Linked DNA regions of Rattus norvegicus. The protein of the gene in region 2 interacts with the protein of the main gene of each other region in a pairwise test. Links are inferred from orthologs where the notes say so. Each region holds a gene or a part of one and is shown on either strand. Other genes may lie near its edges. The genes, in order: Sln, Tmem79 and Sftpc.

What was found.
Region 1: the proteins of Tmem79 (region 2) and Sln interact in binary tests that used the Homo sapiens proteins (3 or more experiments, as listed by UniProt). The two-hybrid records come from large-scale screens. The link is inferred for Rattus norvegicus from reciprocal best matches to the Homo sapiens genes TMEM79 and SLN.
Region 3: the proteins of Tmem79 (region 2) and Sftpc interact in binary tests that used the Homo sapiens proteins (3 or more experiments, as listed by UniProt). The two-hybrid records come from large-scale screens. The link is inferred for Rattus norvegicus from reciprocal best matches to the Homo sapiens genes TMEM79 and SFTPC.

The regions. Positions count from the first base shown.
Region 1 is NC_086026.1:63,138,277-63,142,101, reverse strand, and holds the start of Sln (sarcolipin), read right to left. Parts: upstream 2,381-3,825; 5' UTR 2,358-2,380; intron 1-2,357. UniProt on the Homo sapiens protein: Reversibly inhibits the activity of ATP2A1/SERCA1 and ATP2A2/SERCA2 in sarcoplasmic reticulum by decreasing the apparent affinity of the ATPase for Ca(2+). Also inhibits the activity of ATP2A3/SERCA3.
Region 2 is NC_086020.1:176,098,542-176,102,366, forward strand, and holds the start of Tmem79 (transmembrane protein 79), read right to left. Parts: upstream 2,330-3,825; 5' UTR 2,259-2,329; intron 1,682-2,258; exon of another isoform or gene 1,663-1,681; 5' UTR 1,521-1,662; coding exon 773-1,520; intron 549-772; coding exon 335-548; intron 1-334.
Region 3 is NC_086033.1:52,006,552-52,010,151, forward strand, and holds the start of Sftpc (pulmonary surfactant-associated protein C), read right to left. Parts: upstream 2,658-3,600; coding exon 2,616-2,657; intron 1,486-2,615; coding exon 1,327-1,485; intron 1,073-1,326; coding exon 947-1,072; intron 727-946; coding exon 616-726; intron 277-615; coding exon 130-276; 3' UTR 120-129; intron 1-119. UniProt on the Homo sapiens protein: Pulmonary surfactant associated proteins promote alveolar stability by lowering the surface tension at the air-liquid interface in the peripheral air spaces.

The DNA.
Region 1 (3,825 bases), on a different chromosome or scaffold from region 2:
CATTAACTTGGCAGCTTGCAATATCTGCAAGCAGAGACACCAAACCAGAAGCAAACCTTAAAGTTTAGCATTGCCCTTTCTTTGGATCACATTTAGGAGCGGGATAACATCATCTTTCGGATTTAAAGCTGCCTTAGGTCTTCATCCAACCCTGGTGAAAGCATAAAGAAGCTCCAACAGCTGCACGGCTTTGTACAAGCCTATCCTGGCACAAAACCTGCAGAGGTCAACCAGAAGTCCCTCGCACAACCGGTATTCAGTCCAAAGAACAAGTGTTAACCTCATGAGCATTTCTGTTTCAACAGGGGCTTGTGCCAGCTATTTTTAGTCAAGCTCAGGATGTGCCTAGATTGTAAACATTTTAGACAGCACAGAAGGCATCTTCACCGTGCATACGGATCGTACATGCAGGAAAGTGTCCTCCAAGAGGGCAGGTGATGCTGTCAATCAGGTTACTCATTTTTGGTAAAGTAGTAAACTGATGCTTGGTTTATATAATCAAATTAAAATTTAAATCTTCTGTATCTTAAATGATTTAAGCAGATACTATTACTGTAGGACAAGACTATAGCACAGAAGAAAAATTCAGCTGGAAAGAATACTGGTTTGCAAAAAGTCAAAGTTTAAGGGCAACAGCTTTGTAGCAACTTTTGGCCTGACTGAATTAACTGTACCTGTTGTATTTGTTGCATCATCAATGGACCAAATTATTAATTGCATAGATACCAGCGGAATAATCAGCTTTTATTACATAATTTTGAGTATAATAAGCAGGTTTGTTCCACATTATAGAATCTCATTTTAAATATAGCCAATGAAGATTGATTTATGGCTCCTTTCCCTTTCATTCTTGATTTTTATTGTGTTTATTTATGTATGCAGCTGGTGCAGGAGACACTTGTGTGTCACAGTACACATGCAGAGATCAGAGAACAAGTTTCAGGAGTTAGTTCTCTCTTTCCACCCTGGGGGACTTGGAGATTGAACTCGGGTTATCAAGCTTGTCAGCCATGCCTTTTCTGTTATGCAATCTTGCCAGCCCCTCCCCCTTTTAATTCTTATCTCTCTTTCGGCCCTTAGCATGATGGACATTGTCAATTACTAGTGAAAACTTTAACAGACAGTTGTCTGGAAGAGACAGTAAGCAGAAGAAAATTAGTGGGTAGCAAAAGGGAAGAGAATGCTCGTGAGCGTTCAGAGGAGAGGGGGAGGCTGTTAGGTGAAGTGCTCACAGCAAAGGAATCCTGAACATGAACCCCCAAGACCACATATTGGAAAGCTCTGGCCACCAGCAGTAGAATGGGTAATCATGGCATTCACATTCATTTGAATATTGTGGAGTAAAGAAAATATATGATCTACTCTAGCTATACAGGGCAAGATGGAAGGATCTCACACCATACCTGTGGGATGAAAAGAGGATTTACAAGAGGAGCTGAGAATGTGACCCCATTTACACAAGGGCAGGCACCAGGAGCTTAATCGTGTTGCTTAGGAACACAAACACGGTGGTAAAAGTTCAAAACAAGGAAGGACAGACAAGCTCCATGCTTGGAGACAGAAGGCAGAAGGGAAATGATTTGGAATGGACTTCTGGGGTGCCGCCAACGATCTGTTTCTTGGTAAATGGTAGTGAGGCTGGTGTTTCTTATAATTTGTGTTTCAGCTGCTTGAATCTTTTCTACTCTTCATGTTTTTCATCCCCTCTGACTATAGGCTGAGCACCACACTTCTCTTTCCTCTGGTTTAACCTCTGCTATTTCTTTTACTTTGATGGAAACCTTAAATATTTGTATATATATATATATATATATATATATATATATATATGTATATGAACAGAACTCCAGTCTGATGAATTCCCAATGGGTGCAATTCTATCAAAGTCTATGGCAATGCAGTCTGGGATCTTACTTTCACACACATCCACACCCTTTGAGAGGAATGAGCAGAATTAGGCAGTCATTCGATCACCCATATTCTATGTCTCTGCTATGAGCCCACACACGTGCTCTGGCTTCCTATTTTGCCTTCTCTGTGAGTCAAAATGGCCGTCCTGTGCATGGGCCAAAGTCTTACAAACTAGCACCAAATTGTACAAGGAATTTGACATTGGTTTTTTTTTTTCTGGGGTGTAGGGAAAATATAAAATTAGAAAAAGAGAAAATGTATATCAAAGAAAAGCAGGAATCAATATTCAGTTCGCGCTCAAAAAATGCACTCTGTGGTGATTACCTGTTCCCCTGGGAAATAAAAGCATCAGTTAACATTTTTATTTGAAAATTGCACACGGTGAGAGACAGAGACAGAGAGACAGAGACAGGAAGAGATTGCTAAGTACAAAGATTTGCTGTTACCTGAAGAGAAGCAAAGACACACCCAGGCTGCCGTGGACCTCAATCTCTCCAACTCCAGCTGTCTCCCCGGCTGTCTGAGCTCCTGGACTCTGGGCAGGGCCTAATGTAGTCTGAGGGAGGTGACAATCACTGTGATGTCACTGGAGAGACATCTCAAAGGGACAAGCTCCAAGGGTTCCAGCCTATTTGTATTCAGGGGGACATGGAACTATGGTAGCCAAGGCTCTGCTCCTTGGGCTGCCAATTTAAATTAACAACACGGGGGTGTGAAGACTCTTGTTCCCAGCCTACTTTGGGTGCAGTGATGTGGGATTGAAATCCATCTTTTCCCACTTTATAAATGTCCCAATCATATGTTCAGAACACCAGAAAGCAAGAGCGATAGACCAGCTTTAACAAATAAGCTGTCTTCACCACTGGACACAGGAAGCTATAAAAATGTAATTTCACGTCATCACCTGAGTCATTAGCTGTTTGAAATGTAGAGAATTCTCTACCTTGTTCCCACATTCTCACACCGAGCTCCAGAATCCCTTAAGTCTCCTTCGAGGCTGATTTTTATCCTAGCGATAGAAGTTATCCCCCTTCCCAACCCCATCACCTGCTGCACATAACTTTCCACCGAAGCAATGCACAGTGAGGTTACATGTTCAGCCGATCTCTCCTGAAACAGCCATGGGAGCCATGGCTTGTATCCGTGTCAGTTAAACTAGCACAGCAGTGAAACAGACAGCAAAACCCAGGCCTTTGGCTAAATGGGGGTTAGAAGTAAACCTGGTCAAAACTAGTGGGAATGTGAGTTCTAGATTAGATAGAAATATCTAGAATATATCATTTTTATTTCCTTTGTGTTGTAGTTTGTGTTTATATGACTATTTTACCTGAAGGTAAGTGTGTGTGTGAACCCACATGTGTACAGTGACCTGGGAGGCTGGAGGGGGCATCGTCCAGTTCCAAACAATTGTGAGCCCCTGTGTGGGTACCAGGATTCAAATCCTAGACCAATGGGGAAATACCAAGTGCTCTTAACCACTGAGCATCCTCACCAGCCCGTAGAGTTAAAGAAATGAAGTGACATCATTTTCAACAGCGAACACTGGCGCAAATCAGACAAGGATGAGTTTGTAACAAATCAGGTTAGAGGAAGTAAGTGAAGCCTTTAACATGTTTAAATGGATTTGAAAGCCATCAATTGAGGAATTTAAATATGACTCCCATAACTGTGCTCCTCAGTAAAACTCATCTTTAAGAATAATAGGTTAAATCTCCCCTAATAGTCCCCAGTTAGGGTTAATAAAAATAAGTCATTCCCAGAAGGCAGGGGTGAACACAATTCTCTGCGTGTTTGTATCCATGGTCAAGCCTTTCTCGCCATCCCTACCTCCCCAGGGGCGCCAATAAAAGAAGGATTTTCCATTGCATTGCTTTATTTCAACATGAGCCCATCGAAGGGTAGTCTAATTACAAC
Region 2 (3,825 bases):
CTTCAGTGAACACACTGAATGACAAATGAGGTTAGAGTGTCGGGGCTGTGCTTAGATGTGAGGAAATATGTAAGTCGAAAGCTCCCCTTTGGCACAGCTGAGACCAACCTCTAAAAGGGAGAGAAGAGCTGAGTACCTGCTACCCAGTGCAGCTCAGCAGACAGAGCAGGCTCGTCGGTGCATGGTGCATATCCAGAAACATCCCACCCCCGACTCCCATCCCCGACCTCCATCCCCGACCTCAGGGCTGCGGACCTGCAAGCTCCCTGGAGGATCTGGGATCATGAATTCCCTCACGCCTACCCTAGCCATGGCCGCCCCAGCCCCTACTCACCGAGATATGGCAAACAGACCGGTGAGCAGGGGGAGCAGCTTGAGCGTGTCCTGGGGCAGATAGGTGGAAAGCACAGCCAGGTTAAAGAAGTAGAGGATGAAGAGCTGCACAGACTGGGCCACGTACTGCCGGTGGATCTCTACTTCCCGTCTCGGCTCTCCAAAGGGCCGAAGGGCAGAAAAGCACAATAGGCTCAGCCCGTACACGAGGAGCCCTGGCAGGAAAGGAAGCACACGGGGTCAGAAAAGACAGGAGGGTTGGAATGAGGTCAGGGCTACTGAGTGGACACACAAGCTCCCTGGAGGAGACGGGGTTGGGGGCAGAGAGTGGCAGGTTTGGGATGCCCTCAGTAGTTCCAGCATAATGAAGAGAAACCACCCAATCCAAACCTCTCTAGTCTGCTTCCCAGGTAGCCCTTCTCCACCGGCCCAGACTCACCCAGCACGATGGGGAAGGTGGCAAAGACCCCACAGCGGAGGGTATAGACCAAGCGGGAGCTCATGGTGGGCAGCCTTGGAGCATCGAAAGGCAGGAAGGCGTATGCTCCATACAGCAGGCAGGGGAAGAAGATGAGGGCAGCCACCACCGAGGCTACAGCTCTCAGTGCCTCACGGCCTCCACAGCTTCCACAGCCCCCGCAGGACCGGCCAGGGGGTCTCACAACTGCCTCAGCCCACTTGCGCTCTGGGGGCTCAGGGTGGCTGAGTCGGGCTGGCAAGAAATTCCTGAGCTCGCCTGGTCCGGCCTCACGATGCTTGATGCGCTCCTCCTGAGGCTTCCGCTCGATGCACTGTAGGTCAATGGGCACGAAGGCCCTAACTGTCTTCTCAGGGAGCAGGTTGGCATCCTCTTTGAGTGGTTCCTCCGACTTAATAGGTGCTTCTGACTCTAGGAGCTCTGGCCCAATATCTCGCCAGCCCGGGGGATCCGGAAGTGGGGCGCTGGGATGGGGGTCAGTTCCCCAAGGTAAAGTGGCAGCCTCACTTATTGTGCTGTCTGGTCCATCCTCAGGCCCCTCTCTGACTGTAGGAGACCCTACTGAAGACCCCACTCTGAGGGACTCAGCTCCAGGGGACTCAGTCCCACCTTCTTCCTCTGGCTGCAGGACTGAAGCCTGCGGTGGGCTCTTCTCTGAAATCTCAGTGTCCTTCATGTCCAGCAGGGCCAGTGTCTCCGGTTCTGTCATTATGAGGCTTCAGTTCTGAGATCTACCACAAGGCGATGTCATCCTATAGGGAGTGGGGGAGGTTCTGTGAAAATACCTTGTCTTCTGGCCCTAGTACAGTTTCTCAGACCTAGAACTCCCCAGAGCAGCCGGCCTCGTGGGACTGTAGGGAGAACACAGTGCTGAAACAGAGAGGCGGAGCAGAAGAGTGAAATGGTGGGTAACTTTCCAAATAAATGTCATCCAGCAGGACAAGGGTGAATCAGGGGGCACAAGCAGAGGCAGCTAAGGCCTCGGTCTATGTCCACACTTGCCTTCTACTCTCTCCACCAAAAACTCCTGGATTCATGGCCACCCTAGCTTTGGAATGGGAGGCTGAGGTGTCTAGGACTCGGCTGAGTTTCCTTACAGCCAAGGATCATCCTAGACAGAAGCCGGCCTTCACCCTTCCACCTGCCCTTTGCCCTGCCGATCCCTACCTGGGACTCTTGGCAACTGAGATACTCAGTTCCTTAGTCTCCACACCAGGAGCCAACCATTTTCCAAACTCCCCTTGCCAGTCTCACCCAATTCGGCTGGGCTGGGCTCCACTCAGACTCTCAGCTCTAGTGTGGCGGTGGTTCCCATGTCTCCCTTTCCCATGTCTTTCTTTCCTCCCCTGCCACCCTCCAGCTCACTGCTTCTGGATAAGGCTCTTTTCTTCCTTCACCTCAAGGGCCCCTCCTACCCCTGCCCTTTGGACCCATGATACCCTCTTACTTTACATCTGCAGAGAGGCAGAGGATCCGGAAAAGAACTGCCTAGCTTCTGGCTGGCTCTGCAAGTATTTCCCAGTCTCCCTCCCCTTGCCTGTCTCAAAACCTGTCTGACCAGAGCAGGTGGGGCTCAGATTAAAGGCACAGGCCCTGTCCTGCAGAATCTGCCTACTGGAAGGGCTGTACAGGACAACGTCATCCTTTTTGAAAGTAAGGGTGCAGCTGGGCACATGCTTCCAGCTCAGGGAAGCATCAGGGTATAAAAGTGGGTTTATGTATCAAAGGGTGTTTAAAGTAAATTGTGAAAAAGATAACACTGCAAGTTTGTTTATCTAGTAAATGTTTATTGAGTATTGATTATTAATAAGGTGCTATTTCTGTGGTGGTACAAGCCTTTAATCCCAGGACAGCAGGCAGAGGCCGGCAGATCTCTGTGAGTCTGAAGCCAGGCTGGTCCAGTAGCTGGAGTTATGTAGAGACCCCGTCTCAAACACACACACACACACACACACACACACACACACATTCCAACAAACAGAAAGGTGCTAGTCTAGGCACAAGTACAGAAGAGAACAAAATGACAAGGTCTCTAGCTGTTCAGGTAACAGACATTAAAGTTCACACTAATTTTACTGTGAACTAAATCAGTAGAATTTCAGTAGGGAGAGCCTCTTTAAGGTGCCTCTGAAGCTGAAACCCAACGGGAGTTTCCTGCAGAGGAACTGCGGGTCAAAAGTCAACAGATGGAAAAGACTTGAGGCAGTTTGAGGAATAGAAAGGAGACCTGGTGGCTGGAGCCGGGAGCATAGTGGTATATACATTGCCACTATAATGTCTGTATATGCAGGACTCCAAAGACCCCTTTAGCTTACTTAGGTTTGTGGTTAAGAAAGCAATAGGGCTGTCAAGATGGCTCATCAGGTAAGGGTACTTACTATCAAGCCTGACTACCTGAGTCTGATCCCCAGAGAACTCTCCCAAGTTCTCTGTCCACGTGTATGTTGTAGAACACATGCATCCACAAATGTACACACATACTAAATAAATGTAGCGTCTCTGAGGAATTCCTTTAAAAAAACAAGCAAAAACCGGCTCTTTCTCAGCAGCCATCAATTTCTAGTAGCTCCTCAATTAGGCGTTGGGATACTTCATGAGCCTTCCCACAATACACGCGTGCTGGGATTTTGGCTGACTTGACCTTGTGCATGCAGTCACAGGTGAGCTCCTGTTGACAGCGCTGTTCTGTCTGGCAAATACTGTTTCAGTGCAGACCTCCACTACCTCCGGATCTTAAAATCTTTTCACTGCTCCTCTTCTGCAATTTCTGCTTCAATGACAGCTGGTCCATTCATTTTATTATTTTATGCACATTGGCGTTTTGCCTCTATACATGTCTGTATGAGGGCTTCGGATACCCTGGAGCTCGAGTTACAGATGGTTGTGAGCTGCCATGTGGGTAGTCATTTCTCCAGCCCCTAGCTGTCCCATGTAGCGCTTTGCACTCTACGATCTCTTTTCTTCTCTCCTAGAAACTTCAATTTTTTTTTAAGATTAATTTTATTTTGGGGGCA
Region 3 (3,600 bases), on a different chromosome or scaffold from region 2:
TCGAGCTCCCTGAGACCGCTGACTTCAAGAGATCAGATCCCTAGTAGGTCCCCTGACAAAGCAGGCAGCCCAAGCCCTCCCAGTGTTGCTCAGGCATCCCGAAAGGTACTGTTGCTCACCTGAGGGGTGCTAGATATAGTACAGTGGTAGCTCTCCACACAAGGTGCTCACAGCAAGGCCCAGGAAAGCCAGGTCTCGCCCAGAAGAATCAGAATCGGATCCAGCACTGTGCCCTTCTTCCTGGCCCAACTTAGAGGTGGGTGTGGAGGACTTGGCCTGGAAAGAGCACTTGCTTTCAGTGTCACCTGCATTAGTGCAGGACACTAAACTGATAAGGCAAATTCAGGAGGGTCAGTTTTCCTCACTAATTCGGAGAGGGACTGGGTTGGAAACAGAAGCCTGTAGGGGATGTATGTCTGAGCTCAGCCAAGGCCAGCAATTTAGCAGGTCACCTGAGAGGTGGTAGGGAAGATGGGACACAGGCCCATGTAGAGAGAAGAACATGTCTGGTCCAGGAGCATCAATACTACACAGGGTGGACTAGTCATTCTTTAAAATGTCCCTCTACTCAGCCCTTGGAGGGAGACAGTTCTCTCTCTTCCCTCACACACCCACCTGGAAGTTCTTGAATTTTCTAGCCAAAGCCTCAAGACTAGGGATGCTCTCTGGAGCCATCTTCATGATGTAGCAGTAGGTTCCTGGAGCTGGCTTATAGGCAGTCAGGAGCTAGGCATGTAACACTGGAGGTCATTTATGATGTCCCCTTGCCTCGCCTACTCCCCAACCCTGGTTCTCAGCCAACTAACTCCCTGTAGATTGTTCATGGGGGACACATTTAAATCAAGCCTCTGAGATGTGGCAGGCAGGCACAGAATGGGGAGAGCTCTGGAAATGCTACAACTGGGCAGTTCCCGTAAAGTCCTGGTGGTCCCTCAGGTGTCCTCACCCGCTGGTAGTCATATAGAACGATGCCAGTGGAGCCAATAGAGAAGGTAGCGATGGTGTCTGTGTGTTCACTCAGGGCGAGGCGTTTCTGAGTTTCCGGTGCTCCTCCGATGCTCATCTCAAGGACCTAGGGGAAGGGTGTTAGAATGTGGTCTGACATTTCTCTTTCTTCCTTCAGCCTTTTGGTGCCCATATCTACTCAGAATCCTCTATTCAAATGCAATTCCTTCTTCCCTGAGATCTCAGGAAGGCTAAACATAACTTTCCTGCGTTGGAACAGCTGGTGGTGGTTACACTAGGCCAGGGCCTAGGGGAGAGAATCTATGCTGGATGGCCACCTCATCTCCGCTTGTGTCACCAGATATGCTCTTGTCTGCTCACCATCTCAGTATGTTTCTGACTCATGTGAAGGCCCATGAGCAGAGCCCCTACAATCACCACGACGACAAGGACTACCACCACAACCACGATGAGAAGGCGTTTGAGATGCACGGGGCAGCAGGGAATGCGAAACTGGCTCCTGGGACCTGTCGAGTAATCCTGGGAGAGCAAGGAAAGCAGAGAGACAAATGGGTGGGTGCAAGGATGACTCTTCTCTCCCTGTACAAGCGGGACACCCTCTTATGCCCCTTTAGGCTTTGAGTGTGCAAGGAAGGGCTGGGAAGATCAGAGAAGGTTTTTGGGGAGGAAGGCTTTGGGGAAGGTGTCTGGACTCTAACAAAAGCCATAGATACTTAGAAAGTTAGAAGCAAACTCTATGTTTGGAATAATCCAAGAGAGCCAGTTACCAATCTCTTGTTCTGTTTTCCCAACACGCCTGGCCGCCCAGACATAGGCAGAGTTTTTGTTCCCTCAAAGGATCCAGGTATTGCCATCTCCATGCCTTTATATCCCCTTTGTCCCTTCCCAATTCAGTCCATGTGCCATCTTCATATTTTTTACATTTACTTATTTAGTATGTGTGCCTGTTCATGTGCATGTGTAGTGTGAGTGTGCATGTGTTTGTGCATGTGTGTGGTATGCATGAGGGTGCATGTGTGTATGGTATGTGTGTGTATAAGTCAGAAACAAGTTTCATCTCCTTTCACCAAGGGAATTCTAGAGATTAAGCTCAAGCTGCCACATCTGGTAGCAAGCACCACTACCTACTGAGCCATCCTTTTCTTAAAACCATATATCTATGACCCAGGTTGCTTTTCAACTCCTTATTTATCTAAGGATAACCCTGAATGATTATCTTGCTTACACTTCCAAACTGTGTGCACCTCCATGCCTGGATTATGTAGAACGAGACTGAACTCAGGTCTCCATGCTTACGAGGCTCTCTAACCATTGGTCCACATTCTGGCCTCATGTCATTTGCTCTGTGATGCTCCCTATAGCCTCCCAATTACTTGGTGGCACTATCAATGTTCTTCACAGTCCTTTCTATTGATCCCTCTATGGCTCTCAACACCTTTATTCAGGAATTCATGGCTGTCATGCCTGCCTCTGCCAAGGACTTAGTGATCATGGTATCTCTGTCCTAGCAGCCCACCCGTAAGCTAGTTGAGTATATGAGTCTAGAAAAAGAAAAAAGCCTAGTGGGGGATGGACAGGCAAATCCAATATACTATGTGTGTACAATTGTACACACACACACACACACACACACACACACACACACTCACCGGTGGGCTCTCCATCAGTACCTCTTTGCTACCCATGTCCATTTTGTAAGGTCTCTCTCTCCTCTCCTCATCTCTCTGGTGTGACCAGTGTCTTATATATATCATCAGAGAGAGAGAGAGAGAGAGAGAGAGAGAGAGAGAGAGAGAGAGAGGACAGAGGTGAAGGACTGGGTCTCCTGTCTGCCAGCCAAGTCCTTGGCTTTGAAGCTTGTTTGTTCCTGGCTTTTCAGAGCCTAGGCCCTGATAAGCCAGCTGCAAGAGCCCCCAAGGGCCCTTGGCCTAGGCACATGAATCCTCTTGGCCACAAGGAGAGCAAACCTGGATGAGGTAAGCAAACTCACCCTCAGGCCACATGCTCCTCTCACCGTGGGTGTCTTTCTGGCATGTCTGCCTTTCTTGCTGGCACCTGCCCCTGCAGCCCTGTGGCTTCTCTTCTTCTCACAGGCCAAACTGTTCTGGTGGCAGCCAAGAATCCGGCCATCCCTTTTCACAAGATAACCTCCTCAGGCCCAGACACGAGTTCCATTCAGGGACTGAGAAAGTGGCGCTTGTTGATGAGGCTGGAGAGGTGGCTGGTGGAGGAGCTGGGCCTGGGACAGCACCTGGGGGTCCATTAATGTGATTTCTTAGGGTCGGATTCCTCTTTACCCAACCTCCTCCCACACATGCTGTCCCTCACCTCAGATTTGCTTCCTAATTCTGGAAGTTCTGTCCCCACTGATGGGAAACTATTACTCATGGGTGATGAGTACTGTTTTGTTCTTTGCTCTGGGCTTGTCTGTACAAATGTTCTGGTGGTCTATCCCATCTTTCTAGTGCTGAGGATCAAACTTAGGGTCGTGAGCATGCTTGGGAAGCCATCTAACTGCCGAGCCACATCCTTAGCTCCTGACATTTTCTTCAGCCAAGATGACCTTGCACAGGACTGATTGTGGTCCCAGCCATCTCTGCCCTTCTACTGTCCTTTCTACCCTTCTGTCCTCCT